Cricetulus griseus: one gene and its partner. The protein of the gene in region 1 purifies or fractionates together with the protein of each later gene. This does not show direct contact. Links are inferred from orthologs where the notes say so. Each region holds a gene or a part of one and is shown on either strand. Other genes may lie near its edges.

Region 1 (16,012 bases):
ATTCCAGGGGGAAGTTCTTCTTTGCATTCTGCCCCAATGCTTCCTGTCACAGCTGCTTTCTGCACTGAGTCAGTAATCGGAGGGAGCTGTGGGTCCCTGTATGATCTTGAATCAATCCATTTATGTTTCTAGGCTGTGTTTTCCTCATCTATCAGGTTCGATCACCCTGCCAAGTTCACAAGGTTGTTGTGATGACTGAACAAAACAGTGACTCTGAGAATCGATTGTTCAATGTTTGGATTTATTTGATATTTACTTGTGGGGGGCGGGGGTGTGCATGTTCCACAGCACACATGTGGAGGTCACAATGTATTCTCTCTTTCTACCATGGGGACCCTCGGTATCAAACTCAGGTCATCAGGCTTGGTGGCAGGTACCTTTACCCGCTCAGCTGTCCAATGTTTGTGACTTTTGCAAGCCATTTGTTGAGCCTCTGGCCTCAGCTGTGATGGGATTGTGTACACCATAGATAACCAGCAAACCCCACTTACACCCTTTTTTTGGAAAGACTGTTTATCAACTGGGTAGTATCACAAAATAGTCTAAGAGCCTGGAACATGGAATACCACAGTCCCTCAGCTATCCAGCCAAGTCATAAACATTTGATTGCCATCTCACAGCCCCAAGTGGTCTAAATGCAGCTCCTTCCCGTTATCCCACTGTGGAAACCAGCTCCAAACCCCATTCGCCACATGGCTTTAAATAACACTGATATCTGCTCAGTGGCTCAGACCACAACCTTGGTCATCCTTGGTTCCTCTGTTTTCCAATTCCCCTGCCACACTTAGGCTGCTAGTCCACTCCCCCTGCAGCGGCCAGTACCCTTTGAATAACATAAATCAGACTAAGTCTGCTCTCTGCTTAAAACCAATAACTTGTCAGTCTTTACGGTCTAATCAAACCCAAGTCCTCGAAATGGCCTTCACGAGCCCACTCTGCTCCCACTCCCTCACTTGAAATAGCTTTCTTGGTGGAGTTTCCTATTGTTCAAAACCTTTGAGATTGTTGCTTCCTCTGGTCTTTGTATTTCTTTTTGTTTTCTCTAGAAGGTTCTTCTGTGTCTTTCAAGAGTTGATTGCTTGCCATTCAGGTGCTTAAATATTCCTTCCTCAGAGGCATTCCCTGACAACTCAGGTCCTGAATTGCCCAGACTGCCTGGTAAACTCTCAGCTATTCCTACTTTATTCCATCACCATATAAACTGAGAGCATAAACTTTCTCAGTCGCTCTGGTGCCTCTAGTACCTAGGCATACAGTAGGTGCTAATATGTTTTTAAAACAATCAATGGCCTGGAGGACACTGTAAAGTGCTCTATGTTCAAATAATGCTAGGAATCATTTTTTCATCTTTTGCCTGGGGACAGAAGCAAGATGGAAAGGAGCTAGGACTCCGAGCAGTATCTTGTAGGCACCACAGGCAGGCTGCATGGAAGGGAAGGTCTTCCCAGATAAGGTTTATCACACCCTTCACACATGCTTCCTACCCCAGGAGAAAAACCACTCTCAAGGCTGGGTGCATTCTTTTTCTGACATTGGTGTGGACATTATTGCAACTTCCAGAAAAGCTTAATTGGCAGAATGCAGTGTGAGTGGATTCCCATCCCATAATGAGTCTCGTTCCCCCCCAAATGGGCCTATGGAGGTTTTAGATAAGGGAGGGCCAACCAAACAAATTCCAGCAGAAACTGAGGTGGTACAGTCTTGCAGTCTTTGGAATGATCATTTGATCGCCTTACCCCATCAGTCCATGGAATCTGCATTTTACGAACTGACAAGCTGGCTGTGTGACCTAGGTAAGGGACTGAGCCTTGTGGAGCCTCAGCTTTTTGACAAGCAAAATTCAGATATACACACCTCATAGTACTAGGATAATTAAACAGTGAGGCTTCATGGCAGTCTGGGTTCTCTCTCTGCCGGTAATATCACCCAAGTTCCCTGAATTTTCCTGGAAAATGAGAGTTCCCTGAGGGTCCTCTACCCCATCCCTGCCCCAGTATAGGAAGGAGTCTTACCATGCTAGACAAACCCTCTGCTACTGGCTTACATACATCTCTACTCATCCACTTTTCTGATTGTTAAGATTATTAAGGTCTTACTATGCTTCCCAGAAGCTCCAGGAATATTCCTGCCTCAGGCTCCCTAGCCAGGATCTGGGTCTACAGGCATGCTAAGGACCAGAGGTCTCCCGGTTGAGGGATGTCTTTCTTTTGCCTGATAATAAACAGTGAATCAAGATAGAGGATGGATGATATAGTCTATTGCAGCCATAGAGTATGGCACAGCCCGAGGCTCTTAATGCTTCTCTGGCATTGGCCTCAGCCTCAGTCCCCCCTCTACCCATAGAGAAGGTAGAGGGCTTAAGAACACCTTGGGTTCCCACCTGCCCCCTCCCCATACTTCCAAAGCCCCTCCTTGCCTGTCAGCAGTATTTCAGAGGGAGGCTAAGTCCACAAGAGACGCCTGGAGTTTGTGGAAGGAGGCAGAACCCTTACTAACATCTACCAGCGCTGAAGAGGCTTCCGGGAAAACCTGCAGTGGCCTGGGATCAAGACACTAGAGACCTGGTCCTTCCTGTCTAATTGTTACTTCATGTCAGGTCTCCGGGGTATCCCAGTGGCACCAAACTTTGTACTCTGCCCAACAACTGGATGAAGGGCTGTGGCAGGTGCCTCTCTACCCTGCCCATGGGAGCGCCATGCAGACCCGCTTCCCTCTCGCCCTCCTGGCGCTCACCGAGCCTGGCTCCTGGGTGTGAGGCTCTGCGACCCGGGCCGCCTGGGTGGGTTCCTGAGGCAATGACATCTCAGGGCTGCTCCTCTGACTGCGAAGCTCTGGGCTCTGTTGTGCTTGGGGTGGGTCCAGCCGAGTGGGCGCGGCCCTGGGCGTGCAGGCAGCCGGCCCCTTGGGGCCCCAGCAGTCCTTTGCGGTGGTCTGCCCAGCTTGGGGATACCCAGGACCTCCAAGCTTCCGGTTGTCTTCTCCAAGGAGGAGCTCGCCTATCGTCATACACCTAGGAAAAGCTGGCAAGTCCTCGGGGACCGGCGATTTTCTTTTCTTGGCAGACGTGACGTGTTGTAGATAGAAACCCTCGGCTAACCCCACCCCCCACCCCTTGGGTGAAAGCCAGCAAATAAATTTAGCCTTTAAATGAAGCAATACACTCTACTTGTTCAGACTAAAATTATAGCTGAGTGGGCTTTTCAGCCCGAACAACACATTTCCCAGGCTTTCCTATAATAGGTAACTGGTAGGTTTGTCTATACAACTAAGTCCGGGCCTGAGTGAAGTGTGGTAGGTGCAATATCCCAGGAAGTGCTTTAAAAGGGAAAGGGCCGCACTGCATAAAACTCCTGTCAAAATAGTGTAACCAGCCCGCCTTGTATTACCAGACTACTGAAACAATGAACCCCAGAAATCAGTCAGAGCCTCCTCCGGCAACAATACAACAAAACCAAGCAACTCCTGGGAGAAAGGCCCTGGGCAGCCTGAAGAAACTTGTTAGAGAAGGATCTCTACTTGTCTTTCTGAGTCCACCTTGGCCCGACTGAGGAGTTCTACTCCCTCTTGGACTTTGGAGGTCATCGGATCTTTTGGTTACTGTCCTCAACGTGCTCATACTGAATTTTCACCATGCATTTGACTGAGTTAGTGTATTGAGAATGGACGGCTCAACCTGGTTTGTTGGGGACACAGGCTGTGACCTTAAGCCCAGCAACAATAGGTGCAATGTACATATTAGACAACTGTACCTTAGGACACAAGCACAAGTTGCACAAACTTTGTGTTGCAAATAGTCACACGTGGCAAGATAATCATATTCTCCCAAGTGTGGGAGATAATATTCACAAATTATAAAGTACTTATATTGGGATATACAAATAGCTCTTAATAACAGAAAAAAATCTCATTTTAAAATTCATAATGTGATACTCTAAAGATACACAGATGAACTATAAGGACATAAAAACATCCTCGTGCTGGCTATGGCTGTGCATGTCTTTCTTAGAGACAATTTCCCTGTGTAGCCTTGGCTGTCCTGGAACTTGAATTGTGGACCAGGCTGGCCTCAAACTCAGAGATCCGTCTGCCTCTGCCTCGAGTGCTGGGATGAAAGGTGTGCGTTACCACACTCAAGAGTTCTTTTTTTTTTTTTTTTTTGGTTTTTCTGTGGCTTTGGAGGCTGTCCTGGAACTAGCTCTTGTAGACCAGGCTGGCCTCGAACTCACAGAGATCTGCCTGCCTCTTGCCCCCATGTGCTGGGATTAAAGACGTGCGCCACCAACGCCCGGCAAGAGTTCCTTTTCAAGGAGATGCAAATTTCCAAAATTATATCCTGGTTGAATACTATAGTTGAATAGACTTAAAAAATCATTGACTTTTTTTTGTGCCTGGCAGCACAGCTATCTTGAGAACCCATGTCAACTTAATCTGAGATTATCTTTGGAATTGGCGTTTTATAACTTTCTATAGTGAGTATGAATTATGAGTATGAATTGTCTGTGCCAAAACAACTTAAAACAAATGACAAAGAGCAAAATATAAATGTAATGAGTAAGTCATTTCTGAGATTCTAGTGTGATGAACAACTTTTTAGAAAAGCAGTTTGTTCTTTGGCAAAGAAGAACAAAGGAATATATTAATAAACCTCCATGCTATGTCTTAAGAACAAATACAATCGTTGGGCTGGTACTAAAATATCACTTTTTCACATTTCTGAACATGAAATGAAAATAACACTGGTTAAAGAAAAGGCATCTAACAAATAATCATTGATTCTCAAACCGAATGACAAATAATGACAAAAGCATTCACATGTAACTGTTTTATAACAAATGTAAATTATTAACAGATCCTTTCAATGAACAGCACTTTACCTTAGAATAGTTCATTTAACCATTAGCAAAATATCACATCAAAAATATATTAATGTTGTTTGTAGTTTACTCTTTGGCTCTTTTGCGGGGCCTGCCACCCAGCTCCCAAATAAACCACACAGAGGCTTATTTTTTCTTATGAATGCCTGGCCTTAGCTTGGTTTGTTTCTAGCTAGTTTTTCTTAAATTATCCAGACTACCTTTTGCCTCTGGGCCTTTTCTTTTTCTTCTGTATATCTTACTTTCACTCTTACTCCTGGATGGCTGGCTGGCCCCTGACATCATCCTCTCTCCTTGTTCTATCTTGCCCCTTTCTCATTTCTCCTCCTATCTATTCTCTCTGCCTGCCAGCCCTGCCTATTCCTTCTCCTGCCTTGCTATTGGCTGTTCAGCTCTTTATTAGACCATCAGGTGTTTTAGACAGGCAAAGAATCACAGCTTCACAGAGTTACACAATTGCAGCATTAACAAAAGCAACACATCTTTACATCCTTAAACAAATGTTCCAGAGCATAAACAAATGTAACACACCTTAAAATAATATTCTACAACATATTAAGGCACTAAAATAAATACACATACTGCACTGTCAATGTTTGGAAACATGAAGTATACCAGATATGTACTTCTGTATGTCCACCTTATCTGCAAGATAACTGACTGGTGACAGATTTGAAGCAATGACTTGGGTCAAACTGCTCCCACTCCTAAAATGTTCACTTATTTCAAGTTTTACTTCCCTTGGCATTTATTTTTCCAAAGTCAACCTGTGGTAAGGACTCTAGACACTTCACAACTTTTAAATTTCAAGTAAAAAGCTTTATCAGATGATTATCTTTAAGAACATTGTTGATACTAACAGTTTTCACAGTTTAAAAAAACATGAGTTATTGCTGATAACTGTTCTTCCTATTGGAACCTCTCCCTGACATGTACTCTACAAGACACACAAGAAATCCTGTTAATTAGAAACTGAGAAATCCACAAAGGAGGCTTTTTTGTTTTGTTGTTGTTGTTGTTTTTTTTTTTTTTTGGGGGGGGGTAGATACATGAGAAATGTAGAAACATTCACAAATTTATAACATGACAAAATAGATTCTAGTTGAGAGGTGGCAAACAAATGGCTAATTACAAAACTAGCTGAAAATAAGTTCCTAGTTTTGGGGGAGAAATTTGGAAGAGAATGAACTGTGGTTCTTGGAGAATTCTTGGTTTGCAGTATGGCGGTGCTCTTCAATGACTCAACATACCTCATCCTCTACAATGATGGTGACAGCCTACATACAGTACATAGTGTGATAGCACGGAGTCCTACCTCACCATGAGCTCCCACCCTAACTCCTTGAAGAAGATCACTTTCCTCACGTATTTCTGCCCATTACATGAGTGATCACCTGCTGAAGGCAGGGGCCAGCATCACACCCCGGGGGAAATGATGAGCTGGCCAGCATTCCCTATCTGCAAACAAGGCTCTGCACATGTAGGGCCATCATTCCGCACCTCAGCAATAGCAGTGTACAGATTTTCTTCCAGAACCACACCAAACTTATCCTGTGCCTCCAATGGCAGCAGTGACCTACATCGACAAGACGGACTTCTGCACATACTGCCTAAGCCTTCTGGAGGAATATGGCTGCTGCAAGGAACTGGCTAGCTGGCTACGCTCTGCCTGCACCATGGTAGACAAGCTGTTGAGCTCGAAACTGTCTGCAACTGCCTCAAGACCTCTTCCTAGGCCTCTCTCTGTCCTTTGGACTGGTGCCCCTGGCCTTGGGGGCTGGGTGTGGAACAAATTCCCCCTTGAAGGGGCTGCCATGTATGCTATTTTTTTTATATGCTTACATATGTTAATGATTCCCTGCCCTCAAGCCCAATGTATGAATTTTATGTTTTTCTCTTGAATTTGGTACTCCCTTTCCTCGTTTTTTAATATATTATCTTTATATACATTAAATAAATATGCATCCTTTTAAAAAAAGGATTAAAATACACACACACACACACACACACACACACACACACACACACATATATATATATATATATATATATATATATATATATTGGCTGGGGACTGACTGAACCTAAAGTCTCATAACTACTTGGCAAATACTCTACTATTGAACTACATCCCCAGCCCATAAAATTACATATAAAAGGTATAGAAAAGTATGTAGGCACCCAATACTGACATTGTACTAAGCTACACGATTTTATTCCTAAAATATTATATATCTTGGATACTATTGCCAAATTAATATTTGAATATCTCTTGCCATCATAGAGTGAAATCTGAGAAGGCTTAGGCAACATAATAATTACATTGGTGTTTTTAACAAGTCATGTACAATATTTTAAGTGTTGCTATTTAAAACTGAGATAGCTAACATTTATATTAATAATCTGCTGTTTGGAAATAATGTTTCAATGCTAATGCTGTGGATATTTTGCTACTTTAGAACACATTAAGATTAATGATACAGCTATTTAATATATATTGGTTAACTATAATAAGTATTTGAAAATACTTTTTTTCTGAGTGGCCTTTGAGAAATGTACATTAACTGGTTTCCAGCTATACATTATTCTCTAACTTGTGATTATTTAAGCCCCTCATAAGGAATTAAGCAGCACTCAAACCTCAAGCTCAATCAAACTGTCTTCTGTCTCCCACTTCTGCATGTCCACTTCCAACCATCATTTCCCTGTCTCTCAAAAATCAAAACTGTTAGAGTTTTCTAAAAGGCTCCGAAGTTATCTGGAGTCTCTGAATGATCACAGCATTCTGCAAATCTGCTTCTTCCAATGTGAGTGTCTCATCCAGAAGTCTGAGGAAAGGAAAAGCTGTTGCCAGGGCAAACGGGGGGCTTCTCTGAGATCCTTGGTATTTTTCAATGAAGTCTTTGATGTGGCTCACCCTGCAAAATACCACAAACTATTAATTTATGAAAACCTGAAGTAGCTAATTTAAGGTAGCATCAACTTGTATAGATATTTGGATTTTTTTTTTTTTTTTTTTTGAGACAGGGTTTCTCTGTGTAGCTTTGGAGCCTATCCTGGCACTCGCTCTGTAGACCAGGCTGGCCTCGAACTCACATAGATCTGCCTGCCTCTGCCTCCTGAATGCTGGGATCAAAGGCATGCAAGGCGGCCTGGTCTACAAGAGCTAGTTTCAGGACAGCCTCCAAAGCCATAGAGAAACCCTGTCTCGAAAACCCAAAATAAATAAATAAATAAAAATAAAAGATATATCCCTGAAAAACACAGAACAAGCATTCCAATTGGTAAAAGGAAAGTCTAAAGTTTGGTATGATGGGTGGTACACGACTACAATCCAATCATTCAGAAGGTTGGGTGGGACAGGAAGACTTCCATTAGTCTGAGGCCAGCCTGAATTACACAATGGGATGTAAGATAAGACCCTGTTCTCAAAAAAGGCCGGGTGGTGACGACACACATGCCTTTAATTCCAGCACTTGGGAGGCAGAGCCCAACCTGGTCTACAATTCAAGTTCCAGGACAGCCAGGGCTACACAGAGAAACCCTGTCTTGGAAAACCCAACCCAACCCAAATCAAACAAAAAAACAAATCCTATATGGACATGGTGGTACAAGCCTGTATTCCTAGCACAAGGGTGGCTAAGGCAGTATTGTGAGCTGAAAGTCACCCTAAATTATAGAAAATTCCAGGTCAACCTGGGATACAAACAAGCAAATGGCCCATGCAAGCTGACTAACCATCCACTTAATAAACACTGTAAGCCAGCTAAAAATTTTACACTAGAGATCTTAGCCTACTAATGGTGAGGAAGACATGCTTTAATCCCCTATGAGGTACATTATTCAGAAAAATACAAGAATTTTGCCTCAGGGGGACATAGCTTAAGATATACAGAGCAGGGTGGGTGTGGAGTTCAAAACTGAGCATGGAAAAAGAGTGAGACCCCAGCTCATAAAAACACAGATGTAGGGAGGAAAGAAAATGCCTCAAGCAAGCAAACACACTAAGAGATTAAAAGGTAAAATAGACACATTTCTAATTGGTGATTTTAGTATAATCCTCTTGTAACTGATAAAGTGAAAGTGCTAGGTAGTATCATGAAGGAAGCCCTGGGTTAAATCCTGAGCATTGGCTGTGTATGTGGGGAAGCAATAATTAAAAGAAAACAACAACAATGTGGATCTGGCATAAAGATAAACAGATCAGGGGCTGGAGAGATGGCTACTATTTCAGAGGACCTGAGTTCAAGTCCCAGGACCCACATGGCAGCTCAAAACTATCAGTAATTTCAGTTCCAGGGGATTGGACACCTTCATATCAACACACATAAAATAAAGTTAAAAAAAACATAAAAACAAACCAACCAAGAAAACCTGGGCAACCAACAGATCACCTGGGCAGTGGTGGTACACGCCTTTGATCCCAGCTCTTGGGAGGTACCTGGTCTACAACGAGAGTTCTAGGACAGCCAGGATTATTACACAGAGAAACCCTGTCTCAAAAAATTAACAAACAAACAACAACAACAAACACATAATGGAGAGTCCAGAGCAGCTGCAAGCATCTGATTTAAAATGGACACCATGGCAGGGGAGAGAAGACAGAGAGACCGTCTTCTGTACAAACAGAACATGGCCAGTAGAGTATAATACTGAGTAACACAAGAGCACTCTTACTCAAAGGAGACTAACTGCATCTTGTGCCTCTACCTCTGCTACAAGAACAGGGCCAGCTCCTTTGTTGGTTTAAGAAAGTGGGAGACAGAAGAACAGACCCAGAGTCAGTGACCTGGAAATGAGCCCAGCTGAGATCCACAAAGCCATACCAGAAAACACAAGACAAAGATTGTACAATTATAGCGAACTTGTTATGTAACTTTTTTTTTTTTTTTTTTTTTGAAATAGGGTCTCACTGTGTAGCCTTGGCTGGCCTGGCCTGAAACTCACTATGTAGACCAGGTTGGCCTAACTCAGAGATCTACTGCCTCTGCCTCCCAAGCCCCAGCACGAAGGTCTATACCACCACACCCTGCCCTGTTCTATAACTTTTTAAAACTCAGTATCATGTTTTGTGGGATTTTGTGACTGTACTGTGCAGCAGGGGGACTGACACATCTGTATAAATAAATTTAAACTTGGATTGTTGCCAATGGATAAAATGGATAAACAATTATTTATGTATGGTAGAATATGACAGACAAAAATTGGTCTGGGCTGTAGTTTACTGGTAGGGCATATATGCCTAATGGATATGAGGTACTCGGCAATGAAATAATAGAGAGAATGAACTTACTTCAGTATGGAAGCCCCAGTCAACATGATACTGGCTTTTTTTTTTTTTTTTTTAAAGATTTTATTTATTCATTTATTATGCATACAGTCTTCTGCCTGCATGCCAGCAGAGGGCACCAGATCTCATTCAGGGTGGTTGTGAGCCACCATGTGGTTGCTGGGAATTGAACTCAGGACCTCTGGAAGAACAGTCAGTGCTCTTAACTGCTGAACCATCTCTCCAGCTCCATGATACTGGCTTTAAAAACTCCAAAACAAAGCAAAAAATACCTCTGACTAAACATAGTTGAGTCTAAGAATCCTATGTTGATTGACACATTAAACTTGGGAGAGCTATTTTAAAAAGCCTTCATTAGTTCTCAAAAATCAGTGTTATCTAAACTTAAAAGAAGAGACAAAATTTAAAATTGGAAAACAAATCAGTCAAGCACAGAATCAGGACTGACCTGTGAGAAACATTAAATCTTTGGACAGTCCTTTCCCCATTGGCCAACCAGATCTGGATCCTGGTGATGGGCTCCAAGTTGTTCAGTGGAACAGCAGACAAAGTACTTTTATTTTCAACTTCAATACTCTTTGCTTTAGAAATGACTTTTGGTGTAGCACTAAGAAAATGTGAATAATAAAGTCAGACACATGTTTTCTCATTATAAAAATTTTACATTCAGTTTCTAGGAAGAGTTTTTTAAGTCACAACTCCTCTCTTTGTAATAAACATGTTAGTTATGTTCATAACATATATACTCTAGGAGTTAAATAAAATTATGCATACCCAATTAATCTGTAAACTTACAGAATGACATGTAAATTAGCATTACCTGGGGTACAGGATGAGTCTCTAAAAGAATTATTTTCTCTGTAGAGTTTAGCCCTTGATTAATCAAGGGGAAAAAAGCAAAGTATTTTAAAAGGTATACCTACAAGTTTCCATATGTAAAGCTGAAAATGTATACACCTTCCTACTAGTAATAAATGAAAATAAGGGTCTGGGTATGTACTCAGTTGTTAGAATGCTTCTTAGCATACGCAAATTCTCGGTCCAATCTGCAATACCCCATAAAACCAATCATATGGCAAACATTATAATCACAGCACTAGAGGGGTGGAGGCAGAAGGATCAGAAGTTCAAAGCCATCCTTGGTCATATGAAGACCCTGCCTAAAACAAGCTAACCAAAACCAAATCAGCATTAAAAAAAAAAAAAAAAATCTCATTTGGGAGCTTGGGATTTATTTCAGTTTTAACTATTTGCCTTACATGTTTTATGGGCCCTAGGTTAGAGCCCCAGCATCAGGAAAAAAAAAAAAAAAAAAAAAGAAAATCACTTCCAACAGCAGAAATACTAAGTTCTATATGGTTAGAATAATGAGAAAACGTCTGTCACAATAACCATACTTACCTTCCTAGTCTGTGACCCTGTCCTGAGAAGGGCTGGAATACAGGCTTTGTAGACATACATACTTCATTTTTTTTATCTTCAACTTTAACATCCACCTCTTCTTTATCAAAAATTCCCTGTAGTTCTGAAGGTAATTCCCTTTGAAAGAAAAGAAAACGATAAAGTTCCTGTTTTCCCACAAATAGGCTTTGGGAGCCCATTCCCTATGGAGGGATACTATTGCAGGCCAGATACAGCAAGGAGGGCCTACACTCTCCCCCAAACAATATGACAGACTTTGAAGGTCCTTGGTAGAGGGCTTCACTATCCCTGGGGAGAAGTGGGGAGGCCTGTGGGGTGTGGGGTGTGGGTGGGGAACATGGGAGGAGGGGAGGACGAGGGAATGGGGAATGGATATGTAAATATGAGTAGTTAAAAAAAAAAAAAAAGAAGTTCCTATTTTCCCTTTTTCTGAGATACATATTCCATATGCCAAAAGAACTACATGATTTGTAGAAGTATAATGTATGGATTAAGGAGGTAGTTTAGCTGGCTGGGCACTTGGCTAGCATGTGCAGGTCTTTAGCAGCATATAAGCAAGCCATGGTGGTACACACTACAATCCCAGCACTTGGGACATGGAAGCAGGATGATCAGAAGTTCAAGGTTCTCCTTGACTACAAAGCAAGTTGGAGGTCAGCCTAGACTACAACAGACCCTTGTAAAAATATATAGGGCTGGTAAAGGTACTTGTTACCAAGCCTAATAAGAGTTTCATCTCTGGAACCCATATGGTAGAAGGAGAGAACAAACCCCTGCCAAGTGTCTTCTGACTTCCAATATGGACACTGTAGCACACAGGGGTGTCTTATATGTATAAATAAATAGATACATGTCCAGTTTTATAGCATTACCTAGAATAGTATTAAATTCATAATACTTGATTACACACTGCTACTTTTTTGTTGTTGTTTTGTTTTTCTTTCCAGACAGGGTTTCTCTGTGTAGCTTTGGAGCCTGTCCTGGAACTAGTAGACCAGGCTAGCCTCGAACTCAGAGATCTGCCTACCTCTGCCTCCCACGTGCTGGGATTAAAGGTGTGCGCCACCACTGCAACATGATGCTAATTTAAAAAGTTTTATTGTGTGTGTGCACGTATATGTACTTATTTGTATGGCATTAAGGAATAAGTGGCAAGACTTTGATGGATCAGAATTCAAATTCCTAAACTTCAAAATTATAGCTGTATCCTGGGCTTATTGGTGCATGCCCATAATTCCACTTGAGGCCAGTCTGGTCTACATAGTACACTCCAGGTTAGCCAATATTGTATTTTGAGACCCAGTACCAATAAAACAAAAAAATTAGTTATGGCTCTCTAAGGAAAATGTCAATTTAAAAAAAATAAAAAAGGCACTACAAGCCAGGCATGGTGGACCACATCTTTCATCCCAGCACTAGGGAGGCAGAGGCAAAAGGATCTCTGTGAGCTCAAGGCCAGCCTGATTTACAGTACCAGGATAGCAGGGACTGTCACACAGAGAAACTGTGTCTCAAAAAAAAGTAAAACAACAACAAAAGGGGTTTGGGGTGGGCATGGTCTTTAATCCCAGTTCTGAGAAAACAAGATGGCAGTGTACTGTTGAGTCTAAGGCTAGCCTGGAGGGAGAGTGAGAGGGGAGGGATAGGGGATGGGGAGAAAGATAAAGATCAATGATTCTTTCATAAGAAACTAGCCTGAAGTACCCTTCTACTATATATATATATATATCCTGCTTACCCCTTTTTGATGGAGTTCAGAAACTGCTGACTTGCACCATCAGAGTAACTTCTAAAGTCATCATTGACTGTGAATCCATTTTTCCACAATTTTATATTTATATCTACCTAAAAGGCAGTAAAGGCAGGCATGAATTGTAAGAAAGGTTGATCCTGAGCTCACTAAATAGCTTAGACTGGCCTTGAACTCCAGATCCTCCTACCTGAGTTCACAGGCTTTCACTAGCACACCCAGCTAATGAATGACTTTATAATAACATATTAGTCATTTAGAAAATAGTGGTTCCTGAAGCCTTGAAAATCTAAATGCTAATGTATTTCCTTATCTGATAGACATTATAGCTATTAAAATAACACTAACATCAAGAGGAAATTCTGTAAGTTTGAAAAGCTGTCAAATGCATGAAAGAGATTTCTTCAAATTCCTATTCTGGTTAAAAGTTGACTAAGTAAAATCTTTGCATTTGTAACAAATACAGTTTTAAGTTGTCTCCCTTGAAGTACCAGGCTCACTTAATTTTTCTGTGGAAATGCCTGCCAAAATAGCCAAGTCTAATGGGTGTGTGTATGCTGCATGTAGAGGCCAGAACTTGAAGTCCGTGTCTTCTTTAATTGTTATTTTATCCCATCCCAATAAAGGGCTAGGGAGTTGGCTGAGCAGTTAATAGCACTGGCTGCTCTTTCAGAAGACCCAGGTCCAATTCCCAACACTCTCATGGCAGCTCACAACTGTCTGTAACTCCAGTTCCAGGGGATCTGACACCTTCATACCAATATATATAAAGTTAAATAAATTATTAAAAAAAAAGACCACTAGGCAGTTAGGAGTACTCGTTGTTGGTTTGGTTCCTAGGACCTGCTCCACTAAACATCTGTAACTCTGTCTAGTTCCAGGAGAACTGGCTCTCTCTGTTGGCAGCCAGCACACATGTGGTAGATATACATATACATACCTTCAGACAAAACATTCAAACACATAAAATAAATAAATGTGCTCCGAGCCGGGTGTTGGTGGCACACACCTTTAATCCCAGCACTTGGGAGGCAGAGGCAGGCAGGCGGATCTCTGTGAGTTCGAGGCCAGCCTGGTCTCCAGAGCGAGTGCCAGGATAGGCTCCAATGCTACAGAGAAACCCTGTCTTGAAAAACCATAAATAAATAAATGAATATATAAATGTGTTCCATTTCCAGGTTTTGTTTACTTTTTAAACTATAATTCATCAATGTTTATAATTGGTACTATCATGACTGAAATATCTCTGACTGAACCTGGAGTTCACCAATTCAGCTAGATTGGCTAGCCACCCAGCACAGGGATGGTCTGTCTCTCTGCATCTCCAGCCCTGGGAATGAGTCTTTTGGTTTTTTATGTATGTGGCAGCTGGGAGTCCCAATCTAGCTCCTCACATTTAAAGTGCCTGCCACGTAAACCTTGCATCCTGAATATTCCAGCCTTGACTTAATTATGTGGCTGAGGACAACTTCAGACTTCCAGTTCTCCTGACTCTCCATCTCCTGAGTGTCGGGATTACAGATTCATATCAGCATGCCCAGTTTACAAAATGCTGGGTTGAATGCAGAGCTTTGTGTCTGCTATGTAAGCATTCTCTCAGTTGAGCTACCTCCTCAGCTCCATCACAGACATTCTTAACTAGAAGCATCATTTATTTGGTTTGTAAATTCAAGTAAGTAATATAACAGTTTATAACTTGGTTTTGCTGGTTTTGCTTCCTGCTCAGATGCCAACAACTTTACTCACTGTTGCTTTTCTGACACCTGTGCAAATTCAACATAATGAAAATGGTAAATAATAGCTTTACTATTACAAAAGTAGTTTTGACTTCAGGGATCCTCCTAGAGGTCACTAAGTAACATTTACCTGTTTCTTCTGTTCAGTGGGGGACAAGCATTTGGCCCCAACCTTCTCTGCTTCCTCAAAAAGGCTGTCAACAAAATATTCACAGTCCCTTTGTTGATTATCATTGAGGGATTGATTGTCAGGAGGTCCTGTTTCACAAACCCTAAAAGTAAAATAAAGCAAAATAAAATAAAAATCAAGTGCTTAACCTCTAAGTTAATGAAGACGTAATCCTGGGGAAGTCATTAAACATGTTTTAATATAGACCAGTTCTATACACAATTGGGGAAGGCTAACTTTTTGCTTTGAAGGGATATCTATCTGTTCAAAGATGTGTTTGATTAAATAAAATTAACCTTCTAGCAGGAGGCTGAGTCAGCAAGTAGCTGACAGGAAGTGGTAAGGAGAAATCACATGTAGCAAGGGTTTTTAAGTGGGGGCAGAGAGACTATGCCAGCAAAGGAGGTTAGCTCCTTGCTATTCAGCCTCTCTGGGCCAGCAGAATTCAACCTCAAACCTTGAATTGTGAGTTCTTTAGATGAGATAAAGTTTCCCTAAATAGCTTTGAAAGAGTAGGTGACTGAGAGAACAGAATCCTCTCAGGCAGCAGCCCTTGCAGGAAAGCCATTGCTTACTGGGTAGCCACTGTAGACAATAAAAAAACATAGTCACAGGTATCTTTTGTATTTTAGGGTTTATCAGGGCCCTTGACATTTATCCATACAGTATGAAGGCACAAATGATAACAAAGCAGAGTGAAATGAATACGAAAATGACATAATAAATCCACTACTTTGGAACTTAAAAAATTAATTTAAGAGCCCCCAAACT
Region 2 (16,481 bases), on another chromosome or scaffold:
AGTTAGAAAAAGTTGGAAGGAGTTGACACTTGGTTAGGGGAGGAGGAGGAGGCTGGACATATAGCTGCCTGAGTCTTATCAGTGGAACTGGAGGTCAAGAGGCAGAAGCATGCTGGTGGCAGATAGGACACTGAGCCCCCTGGAGATCTCAGAAGCCTCCTGACAAGACTATGGAGATTGAAGTCGGGACTCATGGGTGGGAGCCAGAAAGCGGGGCGGGGGGGGCGATGCGAGCAGACACCCAGGTTAGGCAAGGAGGAGCCCAGGGAGGGTGGAGATAGGACCGAATGAACACTTACTGGAGTCAAGGTTGAGAGTGGGTGCAGAAAAAGCAGAAGTGTAGGAGACTGGCAAATGGGGTGGGGGCGTGGTAGGCAGATCCAAACGCTGCAAGTGAGGCAGGGGTTCTCCTAACAAGCTCTAGCTGAGCTGTAAGTTGTTATTGTTCTCAACTCCTCCCAGGTCCCCAGGCAGGGGTGGAAACAGGCGGAGGTTAGGTCCGGGTGAGCAGCTGGCAGGCCTCTGGCTGGTAGCCACGTTGCAGCCCTACAGTCTCCTCACTAGGCCCTCCCTGGGCCCCTTTGGACACCAACCACTCCCATTCCTCAAGGGGATCTCATCTGGTTTACTTCCCCTTAGCAGCCCTCCTGCCCTGGGTCCTGCTTCCGCCCTTCGAAGGCCACACAGATTTAATTAGTCTAGGTGTAATTGCCATCCTTTTCCCCCTTGCCACATTACTGGACTCTACAGCCATCCTCACTGGGCAACAGAAAAGAGGGATGGAGGAACCCCAGTGCTGGAGGGGAGAGAACCCAGCGCCCTCTTCTGGCTGCCGTGGTTCCCTCCGAAATCTGTAGGGCCTCTTGGGACACTTCAGAGTTCAGGGGCCTGGGGGTAGAGATGACATAAAACAAAGAGGCCAATAAACGCCACTGAGCTTTTAAGACAAGAGGGGAAGCAGCTTTATTGTGAGGCTTTCATATAACAACTCAACTCAAGGAACATGGGTGTGTGTTCACATTTTATGGAGAAGAGATGGGCATTTGTCTGGAACACACTCAAGGATAGCACTACTGAAAGAGAGTGAGAGCGTGGGCCTGGGGGATTAACACGAGGTAAGAAGTAGTTATGTGGAGGCCGAGGAAGGGAGAAGAACCCTTGGAGGATGGAGTCAGGAGCATGAAGAGAAAGTGATTTTGGAGTGAGCAGAACAGAAGGCCATGGAAGAAGACGGGAGAGCAGAAGAGGAAAATGCAGCAGAGGGAGGAAAGGGACATCATTTTAAGAGGTGGGAGGGTATCAACCACTCAGAGGGTATCAACCCTCCCCTGAGGTGGAGGGGAGGATCCTCCAGGGTGAACCTGATGCTCACACCCATGTTGTTTTTCTTCTGCCCATACCAGGATATGAGGAAGACATGGAGACGGTGAGTTCCATTTTTACCGTTTCTTCCTTTCAACTGCCTGCTGCCATAGCCATCACCTCCTCTCCAGGGCCAGATCTTTGTCTCCACTTACCAATAGGCTTTCTGGAGTATAGCCTCACCTGTTTCTGTTGAGAGCAAGTGGGTTAGGATTGGGGTCATCCGAACTAGCATCAAGACACAAGAATGCTGACAACTTCCTTCATTTGTCCAGATTTGATGTCCCAACACCCAAGTCATCTAACTCAGGGGAGGAGCTACCTGAAGATTACCCTGTGGTAAAGAACATGCTTCACAGACTGACAGGTGAGGAGGGAAGGGAAGGGGAACGTAATGTGTGCTGTTTGCTTCCTTTCAACTGTCAGAAATGGTGAAGCCCCTTTTGGTATCGGTTTTGATGTCCTAGGGCTGAAATAACAAAGTGCCAACAACAGGTGAACTGAGCAACCATCCACACCTCAAAGTATAGAGGTAGAAGTGTGAGGGCTCAGGAGAAATCTGTTGCATGCCTCTCCCCTGGGTTCTGGAAGCCTCAGCACTCCTTTGGCCCATATATAGTCTTACCTGGGGTTCCTTCTGTGTGCCTTGTCTGTGTCTCAGTGTCTCCTCTCCCCTTTAAGGTAGTGGTCATACTGCATCAGGGCCCACCCGAATATTGGTCTCAGTATTTACCTGATTCCCTTTGTGAAAATACTTTTCCCACGTAGAGTAAATTCAGAAAGTTGGGTAACAAAAGTGAAACTTCTCCAGTCTTTTTAAACAGTGTCTTCCTGTGTCTCCCAGGCTGGTGTAGAAGTCAATCCCTTCCTTCCTGTCTCTGCCTCTAACCTTCCTCTAATGTGCAGAGGCTACAAGTATGTAACACCACACCTGGCGGGACGCAGGATTAAACTCAGAACATCATCCTTAATTCCTCAGATCTCGGCCACTTTCCCTCATCCTTTTGTGGACACCTAAACGGTACCCGATCGCTCTCAGGAACCCCTGCTTCTACCCTCTCCCTTTGCTCTTGAGAAGGGTCCGGAGAGTCCAGTATCTCTTACCCCTTTGCCCATTCCCAAGTTAGCTCTCCATTTGTTTTTAAAGTGCCTGGAGAAGATGCTCTACCCCTTAGTCACACATTCATCTCACTTAATCCAAATTACTTCTAGCTCCTAATCCAGAAGTGTTTCCTTAAAGCTCCCCTCCCCCACTCCCACACCTATAAAGTCAGTGGCTCTTTCTGGTCCCTTTGGCCATCTCTGTCTCTCCTCTGGCTGCATCTCCTATAGAAACGGGCCTGTCCCTTCCTGCCTCTGCGAGGGTGAGTGGCCTGGTTTTACTGGATACCTTAGAGTCCTCCCTTTGCCCCTCCTTCAATCACTTTGGTTCCTATCAGGTTTCAGCCTCCCTCAGAAGTCTTGCTGACCTGGCTCCTGCACCCCACCCAGATGCTTAGATTCAAGGGTTTATGCCTTTTGTTTTGTTCTTAAGACAGGGTCTCTTCTCCACCCTTCTTGGCCGGACTCAAGAAACTTATCATGTGGTGTTCCCCGGCCTCTCTTTTGCAGCTGATCTGACACTTGACCCTCGCACTGCACACCGTGGTCTGCTCATCTCCTCTGACAACCGAGGCGTGAGTCTGGCTCCACCTGGAACGCCAGAGCCGCTGGACAGCCCTGCCCGCTTCGATCAGCTCCTAGCCGTGCTGGGTGCCCAGGGCTTCGCGTCAGGCCGCCACTGCTGGGAGGTGGAGACCGTGGAGGGCGCGTCCTTCAGAGACTCTGCCTCGGAGAATGAGGATGCAGGAGAGAGCTGCTATGCCGTGGGCGCGGCCGGGGAATCGGTGACGCGCAAGGGCCTCATCAAGCTGTGCCCATCCGAGGCTGTTTGGGCCGTGGAGGGCCGTGGCGGCCGCCTATGGGCACTCACGGCCCCAGAGCCCACTCTGCTAGGCGGAGCCAGGCCCCCGCCTCAGCGCATTCGCGTGGACTTGGACTGGGAGCGGGGCCGTGTGGCCTTCTATGACGGCCGCTCACTGGACTTGCTCTTCGCCTTCCAGGCGCCCAGACCGCTGGGGGAGCGGGTCTTCCCGCTGCTCTGTACTTGTGATCCCCGCTCCCCACTGCGCATCGTGCCTGGAGAAGGCTGAGTGTCTGGGTTCCCTACCTCCTACCCTAGTTTAGCCTGGAGGCTACTTCTCTCTGGTGCAGAAATCTCCACCTATTTCAGTAATCTTGTCCGTACACCTGTCGCAGCAGGAGCATTAATAAGCACCCTTTACCCACTCACATTCTTTCTCCCACAGCAAGACCTCAAAATGGCTTGTACATCCGTGCCTTTAAGCCAGTCTGGTCCTGCGTCTCCATGCCCAAACCCAACCTTTTCTTTGAGTTCCCTTTCTGTACCGTTCCAGGCAGGGATAGGGAAAGGCTCTATACCACCAGTACTGGGAAACAGTCCACATTTATCGCCAATCATAAAGGGCTAGGGCCTGATCCACAGTAGGAAGGCTGGAGCCTGAATTCCCCTCAAGAAAAATAGGTCCTCCTAAAATAAGATGATCAACTCATAACCTAAGCCCTTCAGACCCAAAACCTAAAATATAAATTTTGGGATGTGTATGCAAGCTAGTCCACCCTCTATACTTCTTCTATGACTGTTTTCTATGCTCATAGCCTCTTCCCTTTAAACATCCTCTTGGAAATCCATCTTGCACACAAAAGAACCGACGGTGCTACCCCCCTTCTCAATCTGGGAGCAGTCCAGGCATCCCAAACATCCTTGTATAGTTTCCCATCCTCCCCATGTGTATAAATGGACCTGTATTTAACACATTGCGCAATGTTGGGTTATTTATTTTGTGCATCTGTGGCAATAAATGAGATCTCAGTGGTGGTATGGGTTTTGCTGATCTCTGTACTGTGCACAGCTAGAGGCCTGGAGGACAATACCCAGATCCCAGCACCAGTTGGGGAGGGCTGAGAGAGCAAGACACCTGGGCTGGCAGAGACATCAGGCAGGAAAGGGTAGGAGTGTACTGCAGGGCCTGTTCCCTCATCTCTGCTTTCTCCCTCTTTCCTTTAAGGGACCCAGGCCCCTTAGACAACAGCGATGAAGCTCAAAGATTAAAGGCTGAGAAACTTGTAGGCTCTAAGTCATTGGTCTCAGCCAGCTCAGAAATGCTATATTCAGGTCATGACTATTTTTGGGGTCCACTTTCCATTATAGGTTCTGACCCTTTTGAGGGTCAGAAGGGGTAAGAGCAGAACCCTATGGTGTCCCCAAAACCTTAGATTCCCACAGGCAAGGACTAAGATTTAGGATAACTTCGTAAGTGGAAGAACTGTAAGCCAGGATTAATATGCAGAGCTGGGGTGCAATATTGCTTGGAATCTGACTGGGGTCCTGGCAGTGAAAGCTGGGATGGTTGAAAACCCAATTTAAATGCTTGGGACTCAAGCTAAGGGTGCAGGTGGCCAAGATAACTGGATCCCAGGACAGGTGTTTTGGCAGTGAGAACAAAAGGGACAGACTGAGACCAAGATGCCTGAATCCCAGGCACAGAGCAAACTGTAGGGAAGGAGAGGCTGGGAGAACCCAGAAGCCTGGGTTCTGGAACAGCAGCAAGTCAGAATTCCAGGATCTCTATCCACCCTCCTCTTCCTCTTCTCTATCAGGCAGGAGAGGGAAGGAGGGGGCAGGAGAAGGGATCAGACCATGGGTTGAATCCCCATGTAGCCAGATGGATACATTTGGGGCCAGGCAGACACATGGTGAGAGGGATTTAGTGCTGCATAGGTCCTGGAGGGGGCTGAGATGGGTCAGGAGGCTGGGGGGGAGTGGTTGGAGTGGGTCCTGGGGTTGAATGACGCCGTCCTTTGCGGTGACCCCGCACACAGTGTGTGTGACCACAACCTTCTTCTTCATCCTCCTCACTCTCGGTGGAGCTCTCACCAAAGGCCCGAGGTTTCTCATAAATACAGCAGCCTAGATGTAGGGAGAGGAAATCAGTTAAGAAGGATGAGGAACACAATGTCCAGTCTGTTTCATTTCCAACAGATTTATGTGCAATTTTTCTCCCACCTTCCAGAATCCATGCCCCTTAAGCCTCCCACCCCAGGGACTCTGGCATCCACACTCTTTGTCTCTTCAGAGACCCAGAAGCATCTTTCTCCCACTCCGACATGGCTTGCTCCACAGACTTGGCAACTCTTAGTTTTAGCTCTATCCCCATCTATTTTCTTTCCCAAGAAAGTAAAGAGAACCGTAAAGGTCTGGGAGGCAGTGGTGAGGGCTGCTGGGGCAACAGCACTCACATTTTGATGAGCGGCGCCCCATGTGTTCATTGTCCACAGTGTCACTTGTCCATTCCACCTTTTTCTCTGGCTTCCGTTTCCGAAGTTTAATGGTTAGGCTCCGATTCTCCTGTAAGGTTAAGAGGTATGGGCCCATCTAGCTAATCTCCTCTTGACCTTTCCTGTTTCCCAAGGTACCTCCTCTTTTCTCCTCCCTTGCTCAATCAGTACCATACACCAGGCCACTGGAGGAGCCGGGTGCTGGGAGCCAAAACAGACCATGTTTTTAACCTTTTCATGAGGAATGTGAACTCCTATTCTTGAAAACTACTAGTATGCAAAAAGGACAGTCCTTAACCTAGGGAAGGTGCCGGTAAATCTCCAAAGGAAAGCACAACCCTCCCTGTTTCTTCATCTTCCTTCCAAATCATCCTTGGTGGTGCCAATACCGGAGAGTTATTTTCTCAGTTCCCTGTGACTGGTCTTTGGCCTTCCTTCCTTTCTCCACACCTCTTACTTACGTTCCCGCTAAAGAGATTAGAAGCATGTGAGCTAAGCATATAGGAGACGGAGACAGAAGCCAACAGAAGCCAGCCTCTGCAATGTGGTAAAGCTTTTCCTTTCAAAAACAAAATAAAAATTTAAAAAATAATAATAAAGCAGGGCTTCCGAGACAGTTCTGTTGGTAAAGTGCTTCCTGAGTTTGATTCCCAAAATCCATATTTAAAAAAAAAAAGTTAGGTGTAGTGGTGGTGCATGTTTGTAATACCAGTACTGGAGATGTGAAGACAGGCAGATCTCTTGACAGCCAGTCTAGCTGACTTGGCAGCTCCAGGAAAAATGATTTTCTCAAATCAACAAGCAAAGCAAAACAAAACAAAACAAAACACACACACACACACACACAAACAGGTACACCGTGCCTGAGAAAAATCTAAGGTTGACTTCTGCCCCTGCCACACCTGAACAAGCAAAATAAAACAAAAATCCAAAACCCTTCTTCTCCAAAGAAAGCCTTCATTCTCTAACATCCTGGCATCTCTGGCAATAATTACTAAACTCCTTCAACCCAGACATTACGCCCAACCCATCTTCCTCCCCTTGAAAGCAATTTAACTTGCTTTTGCAAAATTCTACTTGTTTCCTTATTTGCGTCTCTCCTCTCTGATCTGTCAAAATACTACCTTCACCTTATTTTGTTTCCTTATTCCCTGCCCCCCACTTTAACACGCACCCATTCCATGACTATCTATTGGTTAAGTACTCGTCCTTTACGTTTGCCTCCAAAACCATGCTTTCTCAAATAGCCTTTCCTTCCCTCCCAGGACCTTCCTTGCTGCCTTAACCCAGGTTCCGTTTATTACGTACACAGACCACCGCATCAAGCCGTGACACCTATACCCTGACTGTAACGTCCCTTGACTGGTCACTATCACGATCTGAGCCACTCCAAGCATCCCCAGTCCCTGGCGATCTTCCCAAGAGTCATCCCCACATGTCCCAGATCCCAAACCCTCCAACTTTCCAAAGCCCTACTTCCCTCCCAGTTCCTCCCAGACCCCTAAATAGGCCCCCCCGCCCGCCTTTCTCACGGGCTCGGTTGTCACGGTAACCGTTGTCTCAGTGACGGTCTCACTCAGCCCGGCCCCTGCCTCCGCCATGGCTAAAGCGAAAAGCCAGGAAGCGGGATGGGACACCCTTCCCTTTTTCTGCGCTTCTGGGATCTAAGAGATCCGGTACTCGATTCAGAGTAGCGGCCAGGAACCTCTGGATTCTTATTCTTCCCTTCCTCCAGGGCCTCTGCTTCCCCACCCCTGGGCATAACCTGTCCAATCCCACTTCCGGCCTTTCACTTCCGGGTGTGACGCATCCTGCAGAACCCAGTTTCCCTTCACCGGCACGGCTCGGGCAAAAGCGCAGGCGTCGCCAGATCAGTTCCGCCGTATTCTAACACTGCGCAGACGCCGCAGGTAGCAGAAGTGACGTCACTGTGGGGCGGGGCCAGCTCCTTCAGGGCCTAAGTTCATTGGGGGAAGAGTCAACTCCGGAGCTGCGGAGCGCAGAGGATGTGCGATCTGTGTGCTCAGCACCCCTAACCCTGTCAGCTGTACCCATAAACCTGGGCGGGAAAGTAAGTGGGACTCGGCCAAGTTCCATTTTCTTATCATTCTGTCGAGAAACCGTTTTCCAGGAGCAGGAAACGCACTGGGTTCTAGTCCTCTCTCTGTAAGTCTGGGAGGGAGAGCACACTAAATTTGGAATTTTCCCAGCGTGGTAGGTCCTAAAATAAAAGTATTCCCTGTTATTCTAGTTCCCAGTTTGAAGAATACCAAGGCTAGGCTGTGGGGGGCGCCGCAACAAATTCAAAGACATCTGCTTAAATTTTGTTGAATCACTTGCAGTGATATATTATTTATGATTTATTAAAGCCTGCCTGAGGATTCAGAATCAAAGTCAGCCACAAGCCATAGAAGCCAGGCACACACCTTTAATCCCAGCAGTCAGAAGCTAGGAGGTGGTGGTACACACCTTTAGTCCTGAAACTCAGGATTAAGTGGTAGATGGATCTCTCTGAGTTCAAGGCCACCCAGGGATACATGACATTGAATCGGTCTAAAAGAGTGACAGATAACACACCTTTAATCCCAGCACTAGAGGGGTATAGAAGATAGAATCAGGGTCTTCAGGATTCAGTAGGAGGCATTCATTCTCCAGCCACACTGAGGAGAGGCAGCAGTTTGAGGCTTGGTGAAGAGCTCGTGTGTGGATCTGCCCTTTCAGCTTGAGCTTGAGGTGAGAGCTAGTGGCTGGCTGCTTTGCTTCCCTGATCTTCAGCTTGAACCCCAATATTTGTCTCTCGGTCTTTTATTTTTTTCGTGCAACACTACCTATCCAAATATTTTGTTTCCTTACAATGAGGAACTAGATTTAGATAGAATATATGCATATGTCTAACAGCTTTTTTTTTTTTGCCTTTGTAATGGTTAACATTACAATTAGAGTTACTATGCTTGAGAGACCAAAAAAAAAAAAAAAAAAAAAAAAAGCCTGTTAACGTGTAAGCCCCTAGCTTGTACAGGCTGTAACCTACCAGTCCACTCCTTTCCCCCCCCCAGATGGGGTTTATCTGTGTAGCCCTGGACATCCTGGAACTTGCTCTGTAGAACAGACTGGCTTTGAACTCAAGAGATTTGCCTGCCCCTGTCTCCTAAGTGCTGTGATCAAAGTCATGCACCACAACCACTCTGTAAAGACTATTCTTAAATTGACAGATCTTGTCAAATTTGCCATTTTAGCAAGACAATAAGTCATAAAACTAACTGCTATTTCTGCTTTTGTAATCAAACTTGCTTACTCTGCTCAATGGCTAGGACAACTGTAGGACATGTATGTTAAAATCAGACCTGCCTACACATAGAATACATGTAATCCTGCCATTTTTTGACTTTATAAGCCTTGGGCTGATGTAACTAGAAGCTACATTTTGGGAGCACTTTTGGTTGGAGTCCTTGTGCCATGAGTATCCAGTATCAGTATTTAATAAAGCCTCTTATTAAAATTTATTTATGGTCATGGTGATTCTCTTAGTGACCCCAGACACATAACAGCTTCATTCCAGACTCCATTATTTTATCCTTAGTTTTGTTGTTGTTCTTTTTTTAAAGCTATATTCTAGGTCATTTAAATTTCCTTTGGAATAAGACAGATTATTGTTATTTTTGGTTTTTAGGCATCTTGTTAGGTAGCTTTGACTGGCTTTGATTCATTATAGTAAGTTCCCTGTCCTTAAGCTTGAAACCTTCTTGCCTCCACCCTGAAGTTCTGGGATCACAGGACATATGCCACCAGCCTGGCCAGAATAAGACTACAAATAACACACATAATGCCAAGGTTCCATAGAAAATATAACTTTAGTAAATTCAACTAAGGGAAGGAGTGCTCTGGGGGTGATGATCTTATGCTGAGAACAAAGCACCAGCGGGGAAGGAGAAGGCAACAAAGGACCAATATCTTCACCTTCCAAGAGGAGGAATGGTGTTGCTGAGTTGCCAGGGAAAAAAAAGGTCAAGAATCTTCCTTTTCCTGAAACCTAGGGAGAAAGAAAGGACTTGTTATATTTAACCAAAATGAATTTCTAGCAGTGTAATATGAGATAGAAACCCCTGGAGGACTTTTTCTTATGACAGGGATGGGTAAGCTTCCTCCCAACAAACCTTCAATTCTAACCTCCAGGTAACTAATATCTAATTATTTATTACCTTGAAGTGTGAAAACTCTTTTCCAGGACAGAAAAAGCACCAGCCAAGAAAATGAAAAAGATAAACTAGACCTCATAAAAATTAGAGACGTTGTAGCTGGACATCTGTAGAACCCTACAGATGCAGGGAATGCAGCATTCACCCAGACCTTAAGAAACCAGAAGTTCAAATTCTAAAATCATAGCATACAGTCAAAAATTACAAAGTTAAGAACTACCATAAGAAAATCAGCAGAAATGACATCAGACCCACAAAAAACAGTGGCTATCAGAATTGCCACACTCAGATAAACATGTTTAGTATGTTTCATATACATTTAAAGAACAAAAGGAGCGATTTAAAATCAGTGGGAGCTGGGGAGATGGCTCAGTGGTTAAGAGCACTCATTGCTCTTGCAGAGAATCCAGGTTTTATTCCTAGCACCCACATGGTGGTTCAGAACCATCTGTAACTCCAGTTCCAGGGAATCTGAAACCCTTTTCTGACTTCTGTGGGTACCAGGCATGCACATGGTGCACTGACATACATGTAAGCAAAATACTCATACACATAAAATAATAAATGTTAAATACAGTAGTTGGAAGTTTTATAACGACTAAAGGGCTACATTGTTCAGATGATTCATGAGGTTTGAAAAGAAGTAGTAATAACCCAGGGGCTGAGGAGAAGGCTCAGCAGGTAAAGTGTCTGCTGCACATACATGAGGACTTGGGTGTGGATTCCCAGCACCCATTTAAAAATAGAGAAGATTCTGGTGTCACGGTCCCCATGTACAGAATGGACTCCACTCAAGCTGGGAGGCATGGGACAATGACAGACAGGAAGAACGTCCAAAGCTCACTAGGTAGCCAGCCTAGCCTGAGCTCCAGGCTCAGATACAATGCCTCGAAAGATGAGGTGGAGAGCTGGAAGTGGTGGCACACACCATGAATGCCAGCACTCTGGAGGCAGAGGAAGATGAGTACCTGTGAGTTTGAGGCCAGCATGGTCTACACAGAGTTCCACACCAACTAAGAATATAGTGAAACCCTGTCTCAAAACAAAAAGGAAGGCTGAGATAAAGACACTTGACGAAACTACTCAATGCCTAACTTAGGCCTTCATATGCACACTTGCACAGATAGGTGCATACATCCACATGAACACCACACAACACTCTCACCACCAAACACACATACAAATTGAGTCAAGATTAATGACCTACAGGAAAGATCTGGAGAAGTGCCCAGAAGACAGTATAAACAGAAATGGGAGGGGAAATACAGAAGACAAGATGAGAATGTGAAAGTCCAGTAACTAATTTGAGGACATGGGGAGGAGCAAGATTGGAGTGAAGTACCAGCTGATAAATTTCCAAGGTTGATGAAATATGAATCAATTCTCAGCTTCAGAAGCCTAATGAGAGGCTGGGCATATAGTTCCGTTAGTAGAGTGCTTATGTAGGTCTCATGAAACTCCGAGTTAGATTTTCAGCACCATAAGAAACATCTGTGGTGGCACACACCTGGAACCTGTAATCCTTGTGTTTCAGAGGTGGAAGCAGGATGATTAGATCAAGAAAGAAAGGGAAAAAGTCCATTTAAAATCCTAAACAGGGGCAAATAGAGAAGAGCTCAGGGTACAGCTGAAGGTACAACACTTCCTAACCATGCCCGAAAACCTGGAATAAAGCTGGCAGTACCCCAGGAAGAAGGAAAACAATAACAAAAAGCAAAAATACAGAAAGCCACATGCTAATGTTCTGCATCGGAACTACACAACAACCAAGACAAAGATGGTTTCAAACTACTCCCACCGTGTTCTTTGAATCATGCAAGATTAACTACGTAAGGTCACACCCCTTTTGCGGTGGAAGATTTCATCATGTTGTGCCACTGTGCAAACCGATGTCTGTGTTCTAAAATTTCCTTTCTAGTAGCTTTTTGTGTGTTTTACAGACTCTCTGTGTAGCCCAGGCTGGCCTTGAAAAATGATCCTCCTTCGGGTCACCACACCCAGCTTTCCTTTTACATATCTTTTTTTTTTTTTTTTTTTTTTTTTGATTTTTTTTTGAGAGAGGGTTTCTCTGTGGCTTTGGAGGCTGTCCTGGAACTAGCTCTTGTAGACCAGGCTAGTCTCAAACTCACAGAGATTCGCCTGCCTCTGCCTCCCGAGTGCTGGGATTAAAGGCGTGTGCCACCAACACCCGGCCCTTTTACATGTCTTAAAAGATTTAGTTCACCTCCTGAACCAGGATGTCAGTTTGGAGGTCTGGTTAATCTATGGGGCCTCTGGTAGTGGATCAGTATTTATCCCTAGTACATGAATGGACTTTGGGAGCCCATTCCACAGAGGGATACTCTCTCAGCCTAGATACATGGGGGGAGGGTCTAGCCCTGCTCCAAATGATATGACAGACTTTGAAGATCCCCCATGGAAGCCTCACCCTTCCTAGGGAGCAGAAAGGGGATAGGATGGGGGTTGGTTGGGGGGGGAAGGGGAGGAGGGGAGGGTGAGGGGACTGAGATTGACACGTAAATGAAGCTTGTTTCTAATTTAAAGAAAAAAAAAGATTTAGTTCACTGGCTGTCACAAGAATAACGGGGCTATTTATTGAGATAACTCAGCAGTTAAGAGCTCATACTGTTGCAAGGGATCCAAGTTCAGTTCTCAGCACCCACATCTGACTGCTCGTAACTACCTGTAACTCCAGTTCCAGGGGATTTAATGTTTCTGACTTTGGTGGGCATCTGCACATTCAAGTATAAAAACACCTACAAATTAACTTAAAAAAAATAAACATCTTTTTAACAAGTCAGGTGGAGTGGCACATGCTTGAATCTCAGCATTCAGGAAGCAGAGGGAGGAGAACTGCTTAAGGTTTGAGGCCAACCTGGGTTGTATGGTTGGGAGTTCAAGGCTAGTCTGGGTATGTAAGTGAGTCCCCTGTCTCACAAAACACAAATAAAAAGGGGCTACGATCCTCCCTATTATGGACTGGGCAAAATGACATAACTTAGTACAAGTCTGTCATGGCTTTTGTTGTTTGTAAACACTGAGAAGGGGCAGAGGGAGAGAAAAGATTCTCACTTGCAGTTGACACAGGTATAGAAGACAGTCTGCCCTTCATCAGCTGAACGCATCTGTCTGGTGTGGTACGCCATTCCCTCATGACCACATCGAGGGCATCGCCGGTCAACCTAGAAAGAAACAGATGGTTATGGAGACCCAGTAACAATAACTCTGCTTTCCTACAGCAATTAGACTGTTACAACCCGTCCCCACCTCCACCACGGGCATTCTGCCGGAATGGAGTGCAAAACCAGATCTCCACAATCACCTTCTCATTGCTCTTTGGGAGCCACTCATCAGCTTACCACTGGTCCCTGGGATTCAGGTCCTTCCTCCACAGACGTAGGTATAGCCGCCCCCAGTTTGTGGAACACGACTGAGGTCTTTACAGCCTTCCCTTCGAAATCTGCACAGGAAGTAGAAAATTAGTAGATATGGCAGAGGAGGCAACGAATCCCAGCAACACTTGCAGGTGGGTCAAGCGGGAGCCCACAAGTGACTCAGCCTCCATCTGGAGTCTACTCTGACTTATAGGACATTAGAGTTAAAGCTTGCGTGTTTCAGTCTCCTTGAGAGACGCGCGAAAGTTCTGATTAAGCTCGTGGAAAAGAGCATAGTATCTAACAAGCTTCTGATGCCAGCTGAAAGGCACACAGAGATAGGAAATGAAGCTTCTCGCTGCTAGCAGGGCTCACCTGATGGTGAGCCCGCCTGCTCCTCTAATTCAAGGGCAGTACATGGAGCTAGTTAACTGATTACAGTGCTCCGTATTCTGCTTTGCCTCTAGTCTGTGTATATGCAGAGTCTAGTTTAAACTCGGGGATGTCCGGTGTGCTGAAAGTCATGGACCGGGCAGTCCTCCCGTTTCTGCCTCTGTTTCTTTAGCTGCCGTTTCTCAATTCCCATCCTCCCCCTACTCGGGTGACCCAGCTGAGTCTTTGGAGCAGGCTCCGCCTGGGTCACATCCTCTCTTTGGGTGTCTTCCCTGGGTCAGTCTGACTGACAGATTCCAGTTCTGGGTCTGGAGTCCCTAAGCCCAACCAGTGCTGAGGTCATCCCACCCCCATCACCCCCCCACGGACCCTTCCATTGGACCCACCCTCGGCTGCGTCCAGCGTGTACAAACCCCTCACCCACCTCGCACGTCTATGGAGAAGCCACAGCGAGGGCAGACGACAGCATCCTGAGTTCCTGGCAGCGGCAGGACCGAGCCGCAATCTGGGCAGAAATCCAAGTCGGACTGAAAGCTGGAGACGGGGCTGGCCAGCTCCATGGCGGACAAGAGCTGGAAAAGGAAAGAGAAGTTTATGAGTGAGACGCAGGAGTCTCGTCTTGGAGGTGGGTCCCCATCGCGTCCCGGGCGGTCCTTACCCGAGTCCACCTCTCACCGGGTAATCCGATGTCCGGCACCTCAGCCCGCGGGGAAACTTGTTCGGCGGACCGGAAGCCACGAGAGCTCAGATCCCCAGCACCGGGCTAGAGCGGCCGACCGCAGGGCAGCGAGTGCACCAGGCGGGCTAGAGCGCCCTGGCGTCCCGGCGGCCGTTGGGTCGTGACGTCATAGTTCGTAGCGCTCCTGGTCGAGCGACCTGTGGCGGGGAGGGAATTGGAGGCTGCACACGGCCTGGAGGCTGTGACGTGGGCCGAGCGGAGGCAAGTAGCCAACGTCGGGCCACCCGCTGCTCTCCGGCTCCCCACCGATCCTGGACTGTTTGTTTTCCCACACTTATCAGGGGAAGGGGGCGGGAACGGCCCCTTAAAAGTACTTATTCGGCCCCCCTCCCCCGAGCCACTGAGTGCGTCGGGTAAGGAGAACTACAACTCCCGCCGGTTCCTGGGGCTTTTTCTTTTTCTTCTTCTTTTTTTTTTTCTTTGCGGCTGCTCAGTATTGCGCATCCTTTTGCTCCCCCCCTCCCTACTGGTTGTCGCTGGGAGCAACTGAGTGAGTCAGCTTCCTAAGGATCTTCGGGCTTTGGAAATCGTGGAACAAGTGAGATTAGGGCTCTTATCCCTTCGGTTCTTTAATCATTAATCAAAGCACCTCTTTTGATTTACCAGGGATTAGGTTTGGCTTTCTCTTGCAGAACACCTTCCACTCCCCTAAGCTCCCATTCACCCATGGCTAAATACTTGCCATCAGCTAAGTGAACACTAGGACAAGTGATTCATTCACTTGTCCGAAGGCTACAAAGTGAGGAAAACTTGTGTTCTGAAGAAGGACCAGCTCGAAATCAGCGTTCGCAGCCCCTCCAGCAGCCAACCTGATTGCCATGCTGAGGCTGGTCTTACAGGACACAAGGAGAGCCCTCATTTGTCTTTCTGTGCATGCAATTAAGGTTCGAGAAAACCCCGGGGAAGGAGTTAAAAAAAAAAAAAAATCTCAGCAAGATGTCGAAAAGGGCATCATTTTACTAAGATCCAGCCATTTTACTTGGTGAAATTGGGTGTCATTTTGCTCATCTAGCAAAGCTCTGTTGCTGAGCCCGTGATGGTAGGGCACTTTAAATTTCATCCCTGTGTCCTCTTTCAAAGTAGAAATTGAAATTAGTCCCACTCCCCCCTTTAAGGTTGACATTCATCAGACGTCCACTATGGTTTGACAGATACCTTTAATGCATAAGGCATGAAATTCCTTTCCCAACAAAAAGCTGTCTATTCGATAAGTATTGAGCACCTGTGCCAGGTCTAGAGCTGAGACTGGGATTGCATAGTTGAAGCCTGTGTTCTCTCTTTCAATGCAAATGAGTAGTTAGAATACAGAGAAAGTACACTAGTAGGTGCTTGAACCAGGGATATTGTCTACAAGGATGTCCCTGTATATACCTTCATATGCTTCATAGAGGACAGGTGCATGCTTTAATGAAAAGATGCAGCATGCCCGTGTGGTGGTACATGCCTTATCGTAGCACTAAGGAAGCTGAGGCAGGAGGATTGTGCATTTGTGGTCACCTTGGACTGTAGAGCAGTGTCTAAGCCAGCCTCAATATGTAGTGAATCCTTTTCTAAAAGTGTGTGTGTGTGTGTGTGTGTGTGTGTGTGTGTGTGTGTGTGTGTGTGTGTATGCACGCGCTGGGATGGACCCCAGGGCCTTGGGAGGTAAGCCCTTTACTACTGAGTTAAATTCCCTCATAACTGAGGGAAAGATGATTAGCTACTGTGTGATAATAAAGTCATGATTTTACAATCATAGTACTATATTTGATGACTTGTGTAAGAAATGAAAGAATGGGGCTGGAGAAATGGCTTGGTGTTTAAGAGCACTGGCCGCTCTTCAGAGGACCCTGGTTCAGTTCCCAGCATCAATATCACCTGAGTGCTCACAGCCATCATCAACTCCAGTTTCAGGGGATTCAGTGCCCTTCAGGGAGGCTCTTCAGGCCTCCACAGTCAAAAGAAAACACTCATAAAATAAAATATTTTATAAAGAAATGCAAGTGAGGTGGTCATTATTATTTTTTGGAGGTAGGATCT

The links.
Region 2: the proteins of Ubxn2a (region 1) and Ppp1r11 purify together in Homo sapiens (affinity purification with mass spectrometry; 3 studies listed by BioGRID and IntAct, counting the BioPlex papers as one, with this or other methods). This does not show direct contact. The link is inferred for Cricetulus griseus from reciprocal best matches to the Homo sapiens genes UBXN2A and PPP1R11.

The regions. Positions count from the first base shown.
Region 1 is NC_048600.1:15,646,670-15,662,681, forward strand, and holds the end of Ubxn2a (UBX domain-containing protein 2A), read right to left. Parts: intron 15,345-16,012; coding exon 15,203-15,344; intron 13,432-15,202; coding exon 13,325-13,431; intron 11,704-13,324; coding exon 11,566-11,703; intron 10,772-11,565; coding exon 10,613-10,771; intron 7,793-10,612; coding exon 7,603-7,792; 3' UTR 5,863-7,602; downstream 1-5,862. Other genes in the region: Mfsd2b (major facilitator superfamily domain-containing protein 2B), read right to left, coding at 2,734-2,802. UniProt on the Homo sapiens protein: Acts to repress the ubiquitination and subsequent endoplasmic reticulum-associated degradation of CHRNA3 by the STUB1-VCP-UBXN2A complex in cortical neurons.
Region 2 is NW_023276806.1:228,765,018-228,781,498, reverse strand, and holds Ppp1r11 (E3 ubiquitin-protein ligase PPP1R11), read right to left. Parts: upstream 7,520-16,481; 5' UTR 7,362-7,519; coding exon 7,293-7,361; intron 5,831-7,292; coding exon 5,722-5,830; intron 5,393-5,721; coding exon 5,190-5,392; 3' UTR 4,240-5,189; downstream 1-4,239. Other genes in the region: Rnf39 (RING finger protein 39), read left to right, coding at 1,404-1,426, 1,638-1,729, 2,974-3,554; Polr1h (DNA-directed RNA polymerase I subunit RPA12), read right to left, coding at 9,766-9,790, 13,029-13,138, 13,316-13,416, 14,148-14,283. UniProt on the Homo sapiens protein: Atypical E3 ubiquitin-protein ligase which ubiquitinates TLR2 at 'Lys-754' leading to its degradation by the proteasome.